Linked DNA regions of Yarrowia lipolytica. The protein of the gene in region 2 binds, or shares a complex with, the protein of the main gene of each other region. Links are inferred from orthologs where the notes say so. Each region holds a gene or a part of one and is shown on either strand. Other genes may lie near its edges.

The links. Proteins that work in one complex are often made in the same cells at the same time.
Region 1: the proteins of YALI1_D31568g (region 2) and YALI1_F10688g are in contact, whole or in part, in a cryo-EM structure (PDB 8TW8), measured with the Saccharomyces cerevisiae proteins. The link is inferred for Yarrowia lipolytica from reciprocal best matches to the Saccharomyces cerevisiae genes CTF18 and RFC4. Residues at the interface, in NP_013795.1 of Saccharomyces cerevisiae: Asp394, Ser395, Lys416, Phe419, Leu428, Trp462, Phe465, Leu468, Met469, His476, Glu479, Leu480, Arg482, Tyr483, Leu486, Gln493; in NP_014547.1 of Saccharomyces cerevisiae: Asn148, Glu152, Gln155, Ser156, Val267, Phe271, Ala278, Gln279, Val280, Lys281, Glu282, Ser283, Arg285, Leu286, Ile289, Lys290, Ile292, Gly293, His296, Met297, Leu300.

Annotation. Positions count from the first base shown.
Region 1 is NC_090775.1:1,063,911-1,072,280, reverse strand, and holds YALI1_F10688g (uncharacterized protein), read right to left. Parts: upstream 3,403-8,370; coding exon 2,401-3,402; downstream 1-2,400. Other genes in the region: YALI1_F10713g (uncharacterized protein), read left to right, coding at 887-1,756; YALI1_F10671g (uncharacterized protein), read right to left, coding at 4,045-5,130; YALI1_F10660g (uncharacterized protein), read left to right, coding at 6,230-6,991; YALI1_F10652g (uncharacterized protein), read left to right, coding at 7,024-7,860. UniProt on the Saccharomyces cerevisiae protein: Component of ATP-dependent clamp loader (RFC and RFC-like) complexes for DNA clamps, such as the POL30/PCNA homotrimer and the checkpoint clamp DDC1:MEC3:RAD17 complex.
Region 2 is NC_090773.1:3,151,316-3,161,463, forward strand, and holds YALI1_D31568g (uncharacterized protein), read right to left. Parts: upstream 5,471-10,148; coding exon 2,858-5,470; downstream 1-2,857. Other genes in the region: YALI1_D31526g (uncharacterized protein), read right to left, coding at 772-1,224; YALI1_D31624g (uncharacterized protein), read right to left, coding at 10,013-10,148. UniProt on the Saccharomyces cerevisiae protein: Essential for the fidelity of chromosome transmission. Required for the DNA replication block checkpoint.

The sequences.
Region 1 (8,370 bases), on a different chromosome or scaffold from region 2:
AGCGTAAACCACAGACCGCAACCTGAGCCTCGGTTAACCGTCGCCGTTGCTTCCCGGTGCGCGCTGGCAGGAACCTGAAACCACTAAGCGCGCCGCCACAAATAAATGTACGTCAACCGAGTGTGGCGAGAAGTCATACTTCGGATGTACGAGACCCCCCACCACCTCCGCAATCTGCACCCACTTACTCCACGTCCACCCTTTACCCCTCATTCTCCAATCCCGCTTGCGCCGTTGTCAGCCAGTCCCTGCCTAATGGCAAGTGCAGATTGAGTTAGTGTACATAGCCGACTATCGTATGTATGCGCGCTGGTTCCAGCAATCTGTTCCAGAATAGTCGTATGTCTCAGATGGGTTGGTGGAGGTGGTGGTGGCGAAGACCCCGCTCTACCCCGCAAGGATCTGTAGGTATATAAAGGACGAATACCCCTCCCAAGCTCCCGCTTGCCACGGGCTAGTTGTTAGAGTACCGCCATTCGTACAGTCTACAGTTGCGGTCATTTTAGTCTACGGAGTTTAAAGACAAGCCAACGTTTTTCACCGAATAAGGTAGCCACGGAAAAATGGAGGGCGAGGAGAGGCCGGAAGAGACAAGTATGAGTACGACCCGTAGCAGTAATTGAGACAGGTCATGGGCCAGTCGCCACACAGATAGGCTTGGCAGGTGGGCGGTCACGTGCATGGTCGCCAGACCAAAGACCTTCAGTCAATTGCACCCCGTTTAGGGCATGCATGGACTGCCTCATCCTGCTTGGGACCGGTCAATGACTCTTGGTTGGGCTGGGATGGAACATAATAAACTCACCATGCAGCCGCCTACTACTATCTCCAAGTTTCGCTAACGCTCGGAAAACGCACAGACACCACGGCAACCCATCTCTCGACAATGACGTTTGCAGACTGGTTGGTGGCGGCGTCGTTCTCGCACCTGATCACGGCGCTCTACGTGGGCTCTCTGTATCTCAGCAAATCCACCCGGCCCTCCAAGCTCGTCCGAAGAGACGACGAGGTGGTGGTCAAAAAACGCATGCAGATTATATCGCTCGGCACGCTCGTGGACGTGCTGGTAATCACACCGCTCGTGCTGCAATGGCAGCTCAAGCCGCAGATTGTCACGTGGTCCGAGACCATCAAGTTCATGGACATTGAGCTGGGCCCGCACTTCTTCACACGCACCGTGCCTACCTCGGTGCTGGCTCTGATCCACGTGGCGATACTGTTTGCTGGCCCGCTGTACCAGCGCATCTACCTGGAAAACGGGCTCCCGCTGGGCTTCCACCTGGCCAAACGCGAGCTCAAGACCGTGTGGGGCATCCGAAACTACATTGTGGGACCCATCACCGAGGAACTCGTGTTCCGAGCTTGCATCATGTCCGTGCACAAGGCTGCGGGCTACTCGCCTCTGGCGTCCGTGTTCGTCACGCCGCTGTATTTTGGTGTCGCTCATCTGCACCACGGCTACGAGCTTTACGTCAGCATGGGCAGTAAAGGGAAGAACAAGGTCATGGTCATTGCGCTGCAGTGCGCCGTGCAGCTCGTCTTCACCACGCTCTTCGGCTGGTACGCCGCCTGGCTCTACGTGCGCTTCCAGTCCGTCTGGCCCCCCGTGTGCGTCCACATCTTCTGCAACGCCATGGGAGTGCCTGATTTCTCGGTCGATGGAGTCACCAAGAAACAATTCAAGACCTACCAGACGCTGCTGGCGGCTGGATTTGTCGGTTTCCTTGCCACAATGACCTTGTTGATTCGGTGGTAAACAAGGGGAACACAAGTGAGCGCATTACCAAAGTGAGAACTGCGTGAGCAGCACTTACTCTGTGAGCCCACGGTTATCACGCCGTAATCCACCAACCTGAACCCAGAGTGTTCGTCCAAAAGCTCGTGGGTAACACGCTCACTCGGAGTATATTTAAAATGTATTTAGTTGAAGTTGCATTAGTTGCTGGCCCGGGAGTTGCTGTCGGACCAGAATGAGTAAGATAGCAAGCACAAAGCAGTAGCTAACGTAGCTTGTACGCGTCTCAAGAACGTGTCAGGACTATATCTGCGTCTCTATAGGTTCGGTCAGGGGACACTATGTTGGGATTATCGGTGTCAGAGTTCTTTCTGCTGTCTCGAAGCTCAGATATGTCTCACTAATATTCAGCGAGAACCTGATGTGGCTAGATATGTGCGCGTGTGAGTACTGTACTTCTACTACTGTATGTACAATACTCTAGGCGCTTGAGTCCATGAATTGTGAAAGTATAGTGTACAAGGCATGTATAGACCGCTACCTCTTGCACACTTTTCGGTTTTATAATGCATTTTATAGATACGGATTACTGTCTACGGGTTGAGACAGGTCTTCTGGAGACTTTTTTTAATATCGGCCGCCTTGTGTGGACTTGATTTCAGCTCTCACTTGACCTGAATACCACACAATCTGGCGACGCAGCCTGCTAACTGCAGATATGTGGTGATTCCTTCGAGGATTCTCATGTGAGTGAAGCCAATCTCCTTAATGTACTCCAGCCGTAGCGCCTCGGGCACCTCCAGTGTCTTGGTGACTCGGAACATTGTGGAGATGATATCCTGGGCGCTGTATCCCTTGGTCCACAGCTGCTTGAGCGACTCGCATGCCTCGGTCACCTCACCCTTGCTGCAGGCATCCAACATGGATTTGACGACCACGGGATGGGGGGAGTCCACCACCTTCCAAACGTTGGAAGAGTTGACGAATCCGAATCCAGACACAGTTCCCTGCAAGTTATTGATCGCCTGACGCATATCTCCCTCCGCCGAGAAAATGAGAGCAGACAGGCCGTCGTCTGAGCACTGCACGTTTTCAGCCTCGACAATGTGCAGCAGTCGCTCGAGCACCTGTTCATTAGAGAGTCGGCCAAATCGAAGAATGGCGCATCGCGACTGAATGGCCTCAATGATTTTGTTGCTCTGGTTGCAGGCAAAGGCGAATCGAGTAGTATCAGAGTACAACTCCATGGTTCGTTTGAGCGCATTTTGGGCACCAGCAGTCATACTGTCGGCCTCATCCAGAATGATGATCTTGTGTTTACCAGGAGGCATGGTCACTTTCTTCTGGGCAAAGTTCTTGATCTTACCTCGAACCACCTCGATACCTCGATCATCTGAAGCATTGAGCTCCAGAACAGCGTCTTTGTACAGCTGGGGACCGAGAAGAGTACGCGCAAGACAATGCACGGAGGTGGTCTTTCCAATACCGGGGAGACCGGAAATCAACAAGTTGGGAATGTTTCCGTCCTTGGCCATGATCTTAAGTCGTTCAACGGTTTCTGTATGACCCACAACGTCGTCGAGATACATGGGTCTGTACTTTTCAACCCAGGGCAGCTCGAACTCGGGCTCTCCCTTTCGCTTTTTCGATGGTCCGGCTTCACTCATGTTGTGTAATATTAGTGTGTGCTGTGATGTGTCGTGTTGGACGTGATTTTTTAGCACTTGATTACTGTAATTTCGGCAGACGTGTATTAATTGAGTTCGCGATGCACGAGGGTTTGTAGGGTAGTTGGAGTGCTGGATACAATCAGGTTTCGCTAATAAATTGTCGCTGGAAGATAATAGGAAATGATTAATTTGACAGCGGAAAATATACTGCTCTTTTCAAATTTGGTTCTAGTAAAAAAAAGTGGCACTGTTTGGCCGACACTTGTGGTGCTTGTTCTGTTAGTCTAGTTCAGTTGTTTGTTGAGTGAAGTCAACTAATTGAATATACCGCTGCAGCTTCCTCGATGGTCATACAGTAGTAATTATTACACTCCACTCTGCGCAATGATGACACACAGAAACACCAACCACTATCCACAATCACATCATTCTATCATCTCTCAATTATTCATACAAATACATTTCATTAACTGCTTCTATACATATGAGCCCTGGCTCCAGTTGATGTGTATTGTGGGACCAGAGGTGCGGACAACTGTTCGATCTGCGCCATCTGGTGACATGATTAGATGTAAAACCTCCGAACAGACCATTCGCCCCGCTCGTGTTCCGGGCAATTATCACTCGCTTCGTTTATGATTAAATCACCTCGACAACCTCATCATCAGAGTCAACCTCCTTCACCTTGGCATCATCTCCAGCCTCCTTGGGCTCGTCCCGCATGAGCATCTGCACAACTCGGTCGCATCGCTCCTGGATGGTCTGGTCGTCGTGGTTCTTATGCAGCTCTCGAACAATAGGGTAGACGGATTTGGTTCGCATGTACTCTCGCATCTCCCGCGAAGTGGTCAGCAGCAGCAGAGACTCCAGATGAGTGCACATGATGTCGAGATCCTCCTCTCGTCGCTTGTCGGGCGTCAGCAGCTGCAGCTCTTCGGGCAGATCAAAGATCTCTTCGGGGTCCTCTAGGTCCTCAGGGCCCGCCAGGGGCAGCATGATGAAGGGCAGCAGGTTGATTTCGGGGTCAAGCACAAACTTGGAGTGCTTGTCGGTGTCAAACAGCGAGTTTTTGATTGTAGAAGCAACACCTTCTCGTCGGATTCGCGAGTCCACAAACTCGGTGAAGGGCAGCAGCTTCTGGATGGGGAACAGACCATCGTAGGGCTGCTCAGTGACAAAGTAGTCTCGACCTCGTCGGAATCGCGACAGATCGGCAAAGAAAAAGGCCAGGTAGTCGAAGTTGGAGAAGAGGTTGAGCTTGCCGGTAGCGCCCTTGACAAAGCAGTCCATGAGCGAATCGATGAGCTTTTCCGACTTGAACACCTCCGTGTTCTTGAGCTTCTTGGTGGCGTCGAAGATGGACACAATGTGGTCGTCCTTGGCCAGGTTGGCTAGCAGCATACAGCACAGATCGGCCTGCTTGTTCTCGAGATCGCAAATCTCGCAGGCAATCATGGCTACGAACATGGAGTTGGACGCCAGCATGTCGAGAATGTCTCTGTCATCGCATAGGTTGATGAGAATGGTCAGAGCGTTCTCCACATTGACTCTGGGGGTGCCCAGCATGACGGTGGCCACCAGATCCTTGACTCCCTGGTAGTCGTTGGCCTTGAACTGCTCGGCATGGCCCTGTGAGTAGCCCACGAGGGACTGTAGAGCAACCTGCTTGACGGCAGGGTGGTCGGAGTGCAGAAATTCGATTAGTTCTTGGAATTCGGAAGACATTGTGTGTGTTGTAGTTGTCTGGAAAACTTGGATTTATCGCAGTCTAATTTTGAAAATATATTTTTTGGGTTCATGGCACGTGACCCGGAAGGAGAAGGTAGTGTCAATAAATACGTTAATATGAATCCTATTGAGTGGGTGAAAACTTGAATCAAGTCTAAGGAGTCGCATGGACGTTTTGAAGTTGCCAATTACCAGATTTGAACTACGGAAGGCTTCGATACCAACACCCAAATATCTCCCCTCGCTAACTGATCAGAGTTTTGATGCCTGACCTGCATGGGTGGCAATGGTGGAAATAGATGGAATTTCTTGGAATTTTGTATTATCGCCTACGGATTGAAAAATGAGACAGCAGGAAGTGTTGCAGACTGGTAACGAACTCATCCCATGACTAGTATTGTCTCTATATGTGTTTGTCGTCTGACAAAAGTTTTTTTTTTTTTTTCTGCATATACATTCATTTAATTATAACTTTGCTGTGAAAGAATAACAAAAGAAGGCAGTTTGAGAGTCATTTGTTAAGTAATTACTTGAGACATTTACCGAAGTATAATTGGCGATTTAATTGAACATGGAAGTTGATATAGTCTCAGAGAAGCTGTATGTACTGGGGATAGGAGCAGGGGTGGGGGCGGTGGCACCTTTTATACCTGTATATCACACCCCCTAAATTCACTGCAACACCTATATCTAAACTCCGGGGAACATGGATCTACGTACATATCGTTTTCGTTGAGCGGGGGTGTCAGACGCATGTAGGCTGATAAGGGCGTGGAAAGTTTCCTGAATGAGAGCACCCCTCCGAGAAGAAGAGAGCAATTGTAGGCAATTATCGACCGAAAACCCACATAGGATGAAAAGCAGCCGTTGCGTAACGGGGTATTTAAACGTTCCTTATCTGTTTCAACTCTTCATATGAGTTCCAAGCCGCTCCACCCTCTAGTCTTCCCCCACCTTGCGCGTCGCATATTAAACTCCCGCTGCGGCTCGAGTGCGGAGATACCGTATGATAACAAAAGCCAATATATAATGCCTTGGAGTGGCATCGACGGTGTTGGCCAACTATCGTCGACAAAACCTGATTGCAACCTTCACCATGGTTCTCACATTCGAAATTGCTAGAGAGAAGTTCCTCAAGATCAGAGACGATTCCATTGCAGAGCTGGACAAAGTGTTTCCTCCACCCGAGGACTCGAGACATCATGAAGTTCCCGCAAAGTTGCCCAAGAACTCCATCCCCGTGTTCCAGGAGATGCTGGCCCATGACGATGCAGCTATCATCAATTCGGACCCAATCGAGCTGCTCGATCAGCTTGCTAAGGCCAAGGTATCGGCTGTGGCTGTCGCAGGAGCGTTCCTAAGAGCTGCTGTTATTGCCCAGACTCTCACAAACTGCCTGACGGAGCTGCTTCCTCGAGAGGCACTGGAAACTGCTCAGAAACTTGATGACTATCTAAAATCCACAGGAAAGCCCGTGGGTCCTCTACATGGACTTCCCGTGTCCGTCAAGGAGATGGTGGGCTTCAAAGGCCGAACCTGCCACTTTTCCGTGTCTTCCAAGATCAACAACATCACTCCGGACAATGCTATCATCCTTAAAGTACTCTACAAAGCCGGAGCTAACCCTTACTGTCGAATACCGGTCCCCAATTTCTCATGTCGCTGGAATCAGAGTCGCCTCTCCATGGAAAGACTTACAACCCCTATAACCGAGATCTCACGTCTGGAGGCTCATCCTCGGGTGAAGGAGCCATCGTCGGTCTTGGAGCGTCTGTTTTGGGTCTCGGAACTGACATTGGAGGCTCAATTCGAGGTCCAGCTGCTTGCTGTGGTGTCTATGGTCTTCGTCCGTCTGTAGGAAGAATTACAAACACGGGCTGTGATTATGTTATGCATGGAGCAGACTCGATCAAGGCATGTATTGGGCCCTTGACTTCATCTCCGAAGCTGCTGGAGTTATTCATGAAGGTCATGTCGGACGCAGAAGTCTGGAGATACGACCCCTTCACTGAACGGTCTATGTGGAATCCAGCTCTATTTCAAAAGAAGAAGCTAAGAGTGGGCTACTACGCTGACGACGGCTACGTTACTCCCCATCCCCCTGTCATTCGGGCTGTCAACGAGTACCTTGATAAGATCAAAAAGTTGAGCTTCAAGCATGTCGAGATCGAACTGGTTCCATTCACTCCTTACGACCCATCTGGAGCCGTCCATATCATCTCGTCGCTATACTTCCCCGACGGAGGAAAAGAGCTCAAAGAAGAGCTGTCCAGTGTTGGAGAATCTCTTACTGAAATGAGCAAAATGGCTCTAAATAACCCCAGCGTCCAGCGATTCAACATCGAGGAGCTCTGGAAAGCACACACTCAACGAGACACCTTCCGTTGGAACCTGATGCACGAGTGGACCAAGGCTGGAATCGACATGCTCATCACCCCGGTTCTGCCGGGAGCTGCCTTCAAGTTTGGAACTTGCAACTACTGGGGATACACAGCGTACTGGAATCTGGCGGATTACACTTCCGTGTCAGTCCCTTACTCGTCTGTCAAGGCTTCCGACAAGCCTGTGGAGGACTTCAAGCCCCGAAACAAGCTAGATGCCGAATGGCAGGCGTTGTATTCTCCCGAGACGTATGAAGGAGCTCCTCTTTCTATCCAGTTGATTGCTCCTCGAATGCAGGATGAGGTGGTTGTTGAGGCCTTAAAGTTGTTTTCCGATATCAATTAACGAATAGAACCAATACAGACAGTATATTAGTACAACAAAGCAACCAAGTAATGTGTAACCAATGACCGTTGAGCGTTATCTTACTCACTTTCAGTATGTCATAAGTTGGAACTTGCACAATATTGTCACAGTGAAATGATCCAAATCTATTCAAAGCTGAGATCACGTGACCACACAATGGGCACGTGACATTACCCCTTATTTTCTAGTTCCTTGTAGGCTGTACAAGTCAACAGTTGTTCCTACATGTATGATGCAGCACAGCCAGCTGGCGCGGCACAACTTTGTTGGCTGCGTCATACTCGTACAAGTACTGTAGCTCCGAGGTTGTTTTGGCAATAGAACGGCTGAATGGCTGAGTAATGATCTCCTTGTTTTTGGGTCTTTGGGATCTGTTTCGTTACATTGTAATGTTACAACAAGTTGTTATAGGTTGTATACGCACTGTAAGACACAGGTAATAGGACAGGCGAAATGAACGCTATTGGTTTAACTGTGTGATGCTGCTTA
Region 2 (10,148 bases):
CATTGTGCTGCAGAGATGCACCGCATTGCACCCGCAGGTAGACAGCCTCAAGCCGGTACGGCTCATGTCACGTGGACAGTCCGAGCCGCGAATTATTATTCTTGTGCAGCCGCACATTACCTTGCATGTGACTGGTCAATTCGACTTGTCAGTCATATGACTCAATTTGGGGCATATTTACCTTGATGTTTTTTTTTATATATAATAATAATTTTAAATAATTTAAATACTTAATAGTATAATTCGGTGGAAATTTATTTGTTTTTTCTCTCTTCTAAATTTAACTTGCAAACTAAGCCAAGGTTAAAATAGCCGCTTGTTTTTTGGGGTGTTTTTTTTTAGGACTCCGAAGAAAGATAAAGGGAGGAATAAGTCAGGAAAATGGAAGAGTGCGTTTTGTTGATCTCGTCATTCCGATTCCAACAGCATCTCTCTTTTTCTTGTAGCCCCAATTTGCGGCATATTTTGAGGTCTGTATTTTTTCCAGCAAACTTTCGGCCGGGTAATTTCAAGGGGAAGAGGGGGGAGGTGAAAAGATGCCGCCGAAATTTGCTCAATACAAGAGCTAGAGAGACGGACGGTTGTGTGTGGCGGATGAAACACTCACTGCAACTGGTTGGGTCACGTGACTGGACCGGGATCTGCCTGATGTCTCCTCATGTGACCTGTTTCTGCCGTCGTCTCGGACTCTTCTGACTGCCCTGATCGTCTGGCAGCATGGTTCATCGCATCTCATCTCATCAAACAGGCTTAGACTTGCTCGAGCGAGCGTCAGTTGGGATTTGGATTGCGTGCGCATTGCCGAGAAAGCAGGGGAAAGAATGCTGCCCCTCTTGGCGCCAAGCCGGGAGGTCTTAAAGGTGGATTTGCGAAAAAATGCAAATTGCGACACATTTTTGTGAGAGTGTATGGGGATATTTTGATATGGTTGAGCCCGTGAGATGGGGACGAATCCAACGATACCATTAATGAAACTCCCCGATATCTGCAGCAAAAGTTGGAAATTTCGATGCAATTCTCGTCTCTTTCTCTTTTTATAATCTGAGGCTGTGTTTTGAAGGTTGAGAAGACGCTCTTGGTATGAGTGAGACCGTCATGTTGCGGAGAATCCAATTCCGTTGCTATTTCAGTCGCCAGGGCACTGCATCGAGTGTTGGCTTGTTTCGATCCTTCATGCTTGCTATCATAATACGTATAGTACATACATAGCCGACAGAGATGCATGTTTGTTCCGTTTCGATACTGACGTTCTCTTTGACTTAGACCTCGATTGTGTCGATGACGTATGATCGTCGGTACAAATCGAGTACAAGTACTGTACAGATGCTGTACTCGAACTTGTAGTTGGTGGTTGTTTTAGTTGGTATTCCGGCAGGTCTCTGAAGGTCGAAATGGGTATCATTGGGAAGCCGGAGAGGCGGTTACTGCGAGACGGTTGTTGCGAGACGGTTATATTTCGGAAATACTCTCCGTCAAGTAGTGCTGGTATTGCGGATATTGCGGAGTTGGTTGCATTCTTGATGCTGACTAATATGGTCGACTGAATTTCGACTTTGGTGAAACTTTGAAACAGAGATAATATGGAATAAATTGGCATCAATGGAATGCTGTGGAGTCGAAGAATCTACTGGTGCAGCTCCGGCATCTCTGGCACTACTGTGACACGAGTTATGAGTAATTTCGTATCCTGAAAATATTTTAGTCGCCAACAATGTTGTAGTCTAAAAAGTAACCGTTGTTGGAGCTTTTATAACTATTTAGTTGAAAAATCAACCTCCCAACTAACTCTTCCTCTTACATTTCACTTGTTCCAGATACCAGAGAGAATAATACGGAAAGCAACTAATATAGTGACACAGACACCGCTTCCGATACCGCCACTGATACCTCTCCTTTTCCACCTCTTCTGCGTCACCATCTGTGTCCTTTCTGTCGGAACACAGGCACCGCCCTACACAGCTCGACTCTCGTCGCGTCATCATATTAAGGATTGAACAGGGGCTCAATCGCAGTGGCAAAATGCCGTGACCTAATCTGCTATTGTCGGCCGGCCACTCTGGTGGGCAGCGTGCCAGGCATGGACGGAATCGTGCTGTTAGCCGGGAGATCTGTTGTTGCTGCTGGTTCAGCACTGGTTCTGACCCTGACTCTGGTTCTGACCCTGGAGCTTCATCTTCATGTCTCCAGGGCTAGCCCCAGCGGCATCTTCATCCGCCACCCACAGCTCCGCTACCCTTCAACCAGACTCTTCCACCAGTCACGGCTTCTGTCGGCGACTTCGGGATATGGTACGTACACACTGCTGGCACAATATCTAATGACAGAGTCATAATCCCCTCTTATTGACACAGCATGGTGACCTGAAACCAACTGGCACGCCACTCACCGTTCCGCACATGGTTTCCACCCGTGAAAGCTGTCATGAAACTTCCTGGCTCACCTGGCTCGAATCCAAGCGGCATTGCCCCCGCAGACAGGTCTCCCAGGGTGCATGTACATTTCTGAGTCGATTGTTGTCTACTCTGAACCTCTGACCATAATTCTAGAGTCACCCTGTTGAGATCTTCCGACCCCATATGGCCCAGACTTTGTTCTCCTCTCAGGCCGAGCATTTGGCATTAAGAACTCCATGGGGCGCAACAAAGACTGTCATCAGTTCGCATTGAGGGCGTGTGTAGTTCTACTTCTGGCTCGGACAGTGTGACCATGCCCCAATCAGTCCTAAAGTCACCACATTCCAAAACTCGATCGCAGTCATTCCTGCCAAGCAAAGCCGTGGCTGTCCACAACAGAAGTTTGTCCTACTTGGCCTTGCTACGCGACCATGTACACTGTATACATTTGTATTCATTGTATCTTACTCCATCCACAACTGCTCCCAGGTGAGGTCCCGCCGGACAGCGTTGGAGTAGCCCTCAAAGTACGACACCCACGTGTTCAGCGTGTCTTGTTGCTCCTTGGCCTCGTTGCGGACCACCTGCGACGGCGTGATCTCGACCGTTTCCTTGATAAAGAAGTCCAGCAGGGTGGACGACTTGGATGGCTTTTTTGCCGTTGACGAAGATGGCGGGGGCCCGCCGCGCGTCCTCGGATCCGGGTCTCGTGCCAGATCATGTGCCGCCACGTGTCTCTTGTTGGGTTGCACCTGGGAAAATTCGCCTGGCCGCTTGAGGGTCGGGTCCGGGGTGAGGATCTTGTAAAGGGACTCGAGGAACACGGAGTTTGTGTCCCGGGGCTGGCCATCCGGGGCACGTGACAGGTCGCACACCGGCGGCACAAACACGTACACGTCTTCCCTCTTGGAGGAGATTTCATTGTACACGTTCTCCTTCTTGAGGGACACTCCCAGGGAGGTGAGAGATTCTGCGAGAGACGCCATTTGTTCCGGGGTGACTCCTCTCTGTTGTCGGGTCATAGTGTCCAGGAACATTCCCAGATCATCTAGCAGCGTTTCTTTGTTGAGATACCGCCTTAGTTCGACGGGAATGTTGCTGTAGATGTCGTTGAGACGCAGCTTTTGGGTCTGAGTCTGGTTGGTGAGGGAGTAGTCGGTTTCGACGTTGGTCACGTGGTTTTTGGTGGTGGATCCAAACATCAGCGAGAAGGCCGCGAGCGTATACGGGTGGTAACTGTCGCGGGACCCCAGCGTGTTGGCGAGGTCGTACAGGTGGTACCAGTCATCGAGTTTGGCAATGTTGGTGAGTTGGGTGAGGTTGCCTGCTCCCGAAAGGCACGTGATGTAGGCTGAGAAGGCTCCAAACACAAGTTTATTCCATTCTCCGCATCGCAGCGATCTCTGGCACAAGTTTTCCACGTGGTTAGCCCGGTCTTTGCCCACGGGCACGTGACTGAAGAGTGAACTGACAATGTTGTTCCACAGCGCCGACTTGTCCACCAGATTGGCCGTGTCGGCCTCGGGGGTTCCAAACTGCAGAATGTTGATGGCTTGTCGAATGTCTCCGTCGGTGGAGTTGCAGATGTCTGCCAGGAATCTGTTTTGTTTGGAGGTGAGTTTTTGCAGCTTCATCTCCGTTCGAAACACGTTTTGCACGATTCGCAGCGATTGAGCTGGCGACAGTCGGCCGTAGTTGACGATTCGACAATGCGGCCGGAGTTTGTACAGCAACCCGTGGAGGTTGTTTGCGATGCAGATGATGGGTCGGCTGATGAGGGTGTTGAGTTTGTCTTTGGCGCTGGTCTTTTTATGTCTGTTTTTCCGCTCATGCCATAACTCCTCCTTTTCGTCGCGCTGCACGAGCTTGACCAACTTGTCGATGAAGATTGGGTCCGCTCCGTCAATCTCGTCGAGAATCACGCAGTTAGGACGGTCTTTGGAAGTGACGGAGTGGGTTCTCATGGGACCCAAAACGCCCCGTCGGAACGCTTCGCTGCCACGGTCGTCAGACGCGTTCATCTCCAGCGTGTTGAACCCCAAATTCCGGGCCAAAACCCCACAGGCGGTGGTTTTTCCGGTTCCGGGCTCGCCGTGCACAAGCAGGATCCGCTTCTGGGGGCGGTCACGTGCCTCGCGCTCCTCGTAGACCCCACGTGATCCTGCGTGGACAGCATCTTCGATTCGTCCGCTTTTTTTAAGCCATTTTTCCCGCTGCTTGGCTTTGAATTGCACCGCCTGCGACGGAGTCTGGAAAATGAAGGAGTTCCATTCACTCAGCCAGTACAAAATGTCCTTGTGGCGGTCGGAATGGCCGTTCAGATCCAGCAGCTTTTGCGGCCGCAGTTTTTCCACCCAGAGGTGGCCGTCCCGTGACCCAATTCCAGACACGAGCAGACCCGCACGATGTCTCGAATCGCTGAATGCGTCTGCCGGAATTTTGGACGTATCGCAAGATGCCGTTTTCGGGCGGGTATTTCCGGTATCTCCAGCGGTAGGATTTGGCGTATTGCAAGTTTCGCTGCTGTCGAATTTTTGGCCCACCAGCTTCTGTCTGATGCCGCTCACATCGATTCCGTAGTGGTTCTTCAGCGATTCCTCCTCCTGTTGCATTGTTCGGAGCCGGGTCGTTTTGATGTACTTTTTCGCTCGCGAAAGGGTCATTCCGGAGTAGAGCGTGATGTATCGGGTGGGCGAAGTGCGGTCACGTGGCATATCACGTGACGGAGCGGCGGAGGCGGCAGAAGCTGGCAAGTCTTTGGGTTCGTTGGCTCTCAACATTTCCGCAATGAAGTCATCTTCCTCCGCCGCCGGCGACGGGAAGCGCGTCATGTGATTATCCAGGTCGCACATCTGGGTCACGTGGTTGGTCATGGGATCGCTGGTCGGTTCTACCTCCTCACCTCCCCGCTCCCCCTCCCCCTCATCCTCTTCGGCAGACATGGATAGATCAGAACCTTCGGAAAGCTCCATATCGGACTCGTCACGTGGAAGTTCACGTGACCGCGTTCCAACGCGCTGCAGCTCGTCCAGTGCGCTCCCGGACCCAAACAATCCTCCTCCCCAGTCTAGAGACATGGTGTTCAAAGGTGTGTCGAAGTGTCGAAAAGTGCTTAAAAAGTGCGTAAAAATGTGTTTTGGGCGCTCGGTTGGGTTGTCACGTGTCACGTGAGTGTTTTGTGGCGGTGCAGCAGCGGTTTTGAAGGTGTAGAGGCGTCCTGTAAAAGCGTCCTGTAGAGGTGTATCAGTGGTTGTAATTTGAAACGCGAAATTTCAATTAACGTAGAAGCGCGTTTTAGGTTGATGTTAGGGTTGGTTGGGTTGGGGTTCGTGGATCAGTGGATACAAAATACAAATACTTACAGTGTTACCACAATATGTTACAATAGTGGTTATAAATTTATTTTAAAGAATTCAATATAATAAAAAATTAATTAACATCCACTGAACAGCAACGATTAAGTATGCTCGTGTTATTCACTCACCAAATCACCCCCAAAACGCTTGAAACGTCCTTGGATGCATTTTACTTATTTATATTGTATTTTTATTTTTTATTTTATTTTTTATTTTTTATTAATTTATTAATTATTTATTTTTCCAGAACAAAAAAAAACACAAACAGATGTTCTTGTTTAGGTGCTGTTAATATTCTAACAAAGGTCTCAACAAAAATACCTGCTTGCAATTTTATGACCATCTCCAGAATGAAATTCTGTTGATGCCAAAATAACCACAATTTAGGATCAGTTAGAAACTCATTTATTCTGTATCTTCATGTATCGAAATATATTCTATTCAATTTATGGAACATGGAAATGCGACCTCAAGCCGGTTTTTTGATTTAACAATTCTTAACTATTCACTTGGCAATCCCATCAACTGACAGACTGGAGACAGCAGCCAAACACGGTGGGTGTTTGAGTATAGAAAGCAATTTTTGATAGTATCGATCGGTAAGTTGAGGTCCAGATAATACAGCGGTTCTTGTAAATATCGATATTCGGTATTTTATGGATGTTTTTAAACAGAGAGACGAGGAGATTTCTCATCAAAAGCTCAACATCGTTAACTGTTCTAATTCAGTTACTTGACAGTTTATAGGGAAAAATAAAAGAAGAAAAAAAAACACTGACTCCAGGACGTTCTGTGATGTGGAATTGAGCTTTTTTTTTTTTTTTTTTTTTTTTTTCACGTAATGAATATAACGTGAGTGGAAATTGTCCATTCAAAATAATTCAAACAAAATCGTCTGGAATTGACAGACTTGACGCAACTGACTGACTGAAAAGTCTGTCAGTTTTATACATTTTCACGTCAGACAGACTTATCAATTTCACATAAACCTGTTTATGGCCGTTAAATATATCATTTTACTCGCTATCATCTCCACATTCCAACGGTACCACTAAATAATCTATATCTCTTGGTTCTATGGTGTTGTGACGGAACGGGTTTAAAAACGCACTGGTGAGAAACATACCACCCCAGAAATAACTTCTGGTGCTCTCGTGAACCTACCAAGGTTTCACTGAGTGTCTCAGGGGTGCGAACAGGTACAGTATTCAATACCAGGGTCTGGTACACTGTAGTATAAGATCTGACTGGTCGAATTGCACTGTACAACCACTATAAAGTTGATTTGTTTTTTTTTTTCTTCTCTTCTTACACTCCACTTTATGACAGCTCGGTAAGTGTTGTCAGTGACACAAAAGGAATGTGAGGGCGCAGCGCGTTAGGTGGACTCCGGAAACTCTCTTCTTTTGCTGCTGATTGGAATGCCGTCTACGTGCTACGTGTACTGGGCGGAGACTGCGTAATTACTACATGGACTGTGTGGTATTGACTACATGGAATGCGCAGTGACTAATTTGGCCTTGTGATGACTACATTAACTGTGGATTGTCACTTCAGACTAGAGTGTCTACTTCTCTTCCTGGCGGTAGGTACGAGTGCCACCGCCACGACCAGCGATATTGAGCAAATGATTGAGCAGAGCTGGTTGAGCGATATGGCTATTTGCTGTTGTCTTATCGTTGATGCTTGTCCTGAGTGAGTTGCTCCGACTCAACGACTGCATCTCGTTCACGGCTGATCCTGTGACTTGTTGCACTTTTCAATGGTTGCAGCGTTCGAGGTTTAGTGGGTGCGGCGTCTATGGTTCGCGCAGTCGACGGCTGTCTGAAGACATCAATTGTGGTAGTGGCTGTGGCTGGAACGAGTGATTTGTTTCTGATCAGGGGTTTACAGAAGCAATCTCTCAGATGTCGGTCTTTTGCAGATCTACAACCTCTGTCGATGGTGTCTAGATTCCCCTGGCACGTGTTCCAGGGTCGGACCGAGGATCAGCGCCCCCTAGTTCGTTGCAGGTTGTCAGAACGACTTAAACTGCTGGTCTTCATGAACCCGGACGTGAGTCACGTGGAGTCTTTTTGGAGTTCATTTCTTGACTCTGGGATGAGTCATTATTGACCGTATCGTTCGCGGCCTTGGTCCTGGCATTCGGTTGTTCTTCCCCTTGGCAGCGAGGAGTGCATCTTCTTGAAGTCAGGAGCCCACAGCTGGTCTTCTACAACATTCCCTACGGCGCTGTCGCAGGGGAGTTGAGTCCGGCACTCCTGCGGCAGCTTGAGAAGAACAGTGGCTCCTCGCACCCGCGTTCACAACCATCTCTAGTTTGTACAAATGATGTGCATACTCAGGTTGTGGGAGAGATGTGACATTTTCCCAAGAGTGTAGGGGGAGCATCCAGGCTCTTGTCTGAGTGGGTGTTTCCCAGATCAGGGAAAGTGCTGCTCTATTCGGCAGATTTGACTTACTAGCGCTTGTCTCGCGCAGGTTGTAATTCGGGAGTAATATTTGGCAGTCGAGTTGTCAGTCTGGTTGTCAGTCTGGGTGTCAGTTTTGGGACGCTGGCTAGAACTTCCTGTCTCAGCAGATTGACTTCTGCCACTCACCTCCGCTTTGTGTTTCCTGGCGAGATCTGTATGCTCAGATTGTCTCACTAAGAGGAATACAAATGCCGCATGTCACCTTTGACCAGCCGTATCTGAGCAAGTGATGGGTTGGGTGTGAACGCGGTGGATTGGCGGTGGATTGAACCTGGATGGATCCTCTAGCGGTGGATCCTCGGCGGACTCTCTAGCGGCAGGTCCTCTAGTGGTGGACCCTATAGCTGTTGGCAGAGCTCTTATTTGCTGCCAAATCACCACCCTAGATGGTTTGGGTCCACTTTTCATTTTGTGAAACTGCCCAGTTGAGGTCGACTTGGTACAACTCTCAATCAGGGTTACACAGTGTCAACACAGCATAATCAATGGCAGCGTCAATAGGCAAATAAGTGCAAGTAACTGCATGCTCACTCAGTAACTTTTTTTAGTTCAGAGTTGCTCAGAACTAGTTTTGTAATAATACATTGTTATTTTTTTGGTTTTTTTTCGTTTTTTTACAATTTTTCGGTCGTTTGGTCGTTTGGACAATATACCAACTATACAACGAAGAGTATATATAAATATATATATAAATAATAAAATGTCACGTGCGTTAATTGTTACTCTCTGATCCACGTGACAGTCTCTAGAGGAGCTCCGTTTGTTTAGTTTCTCTTGTTCGATTTTACGGGTATTTGTTTCGGATTTATCAGCCAACCTTGCAGCCGCTCCAGAGGACCAAAATGGGAGAAAATCAATAAACATTTCTACAGTTGTATTCTGCGCAATCGGTGCCCACTTTTCGTCAGGTCCACTTTTCGATACCTCTTTTTGTCCAGGGTTTGGTCAGGGTTTTGGCATGTTTTACTGGTTGCTTTTTTTTGCGCGGCACGGTCCAAAAACTGGTCCGAACGGCTGAAAAAATAGCTCAATGGGGGAGAAGGTTTTTAAAAGCGGTTTTTGAGCGTACGGCAAATGTATTTGTCAAGTTTGAGAAGTCCTGGTGTCGCTTCATCGAGTTTTATGGACGTGATAATGTTTGCAGAGGGGGAGTAGATAGATAGATAGGGAATAAGAGATTCTAAGAAGTTGGATAGTTCAATAGTGGGGTTTATTGGGTGCAAGACAGACCCTGGTGAACTTCCAGGGTGAACTTCCAGGGTCGATATCTTTGCTGGTTCAAATTCTGTAGAGTATATTGCAGATACATTATGTTGCAATCTGACCTCGTCTAACTTGGTGTGGGGGGATTCTAGGATGATGAGGAGTTCGATGGGCCATTTATTGGTCTCTATTTGCGTATTTATTCAAGTACCCGCTTCTATATCTCTGGAATGGGGCGTTTTTAGGCGTTTTTGGGCACTTGTGAGCGTCTTGGAAACTTTTGGACGTTTTGGGCACTTTCGAAAGTCGTTGATGGAGTCGAGAAATACCCCAGTGGTTATAGAGCAATGTTGGGACTTTTGAAGGGAAGAAAAATGCGTTTTACGGGGAAAGAGATCATTACTGAGGGTATTATTGGTGATTAAATAGGCTAGATATTGAGTTGGAGAGAGTGAGTGAGTTGAACGGGAAAAGGGGAAAGGAAATGAACAAAGAGTAAGTGACATGGAGGTAAACACGGAGAATCACGTGATGATAAACACGAGTCGTCGTTAGTGGTCCCAATTCTCACTCCTCGCGAATTGCCCTATGCGCAATGAGGCGCGGTCAACGAATTTGTCCAGGTAAAACTTCCCAGAATCACAATCATCAGACTAAATCCGAAAAAATTGGTAAACCAGCCGTAGACATAGGCTCTCTTGTAGCTCATGTTATAACATTCG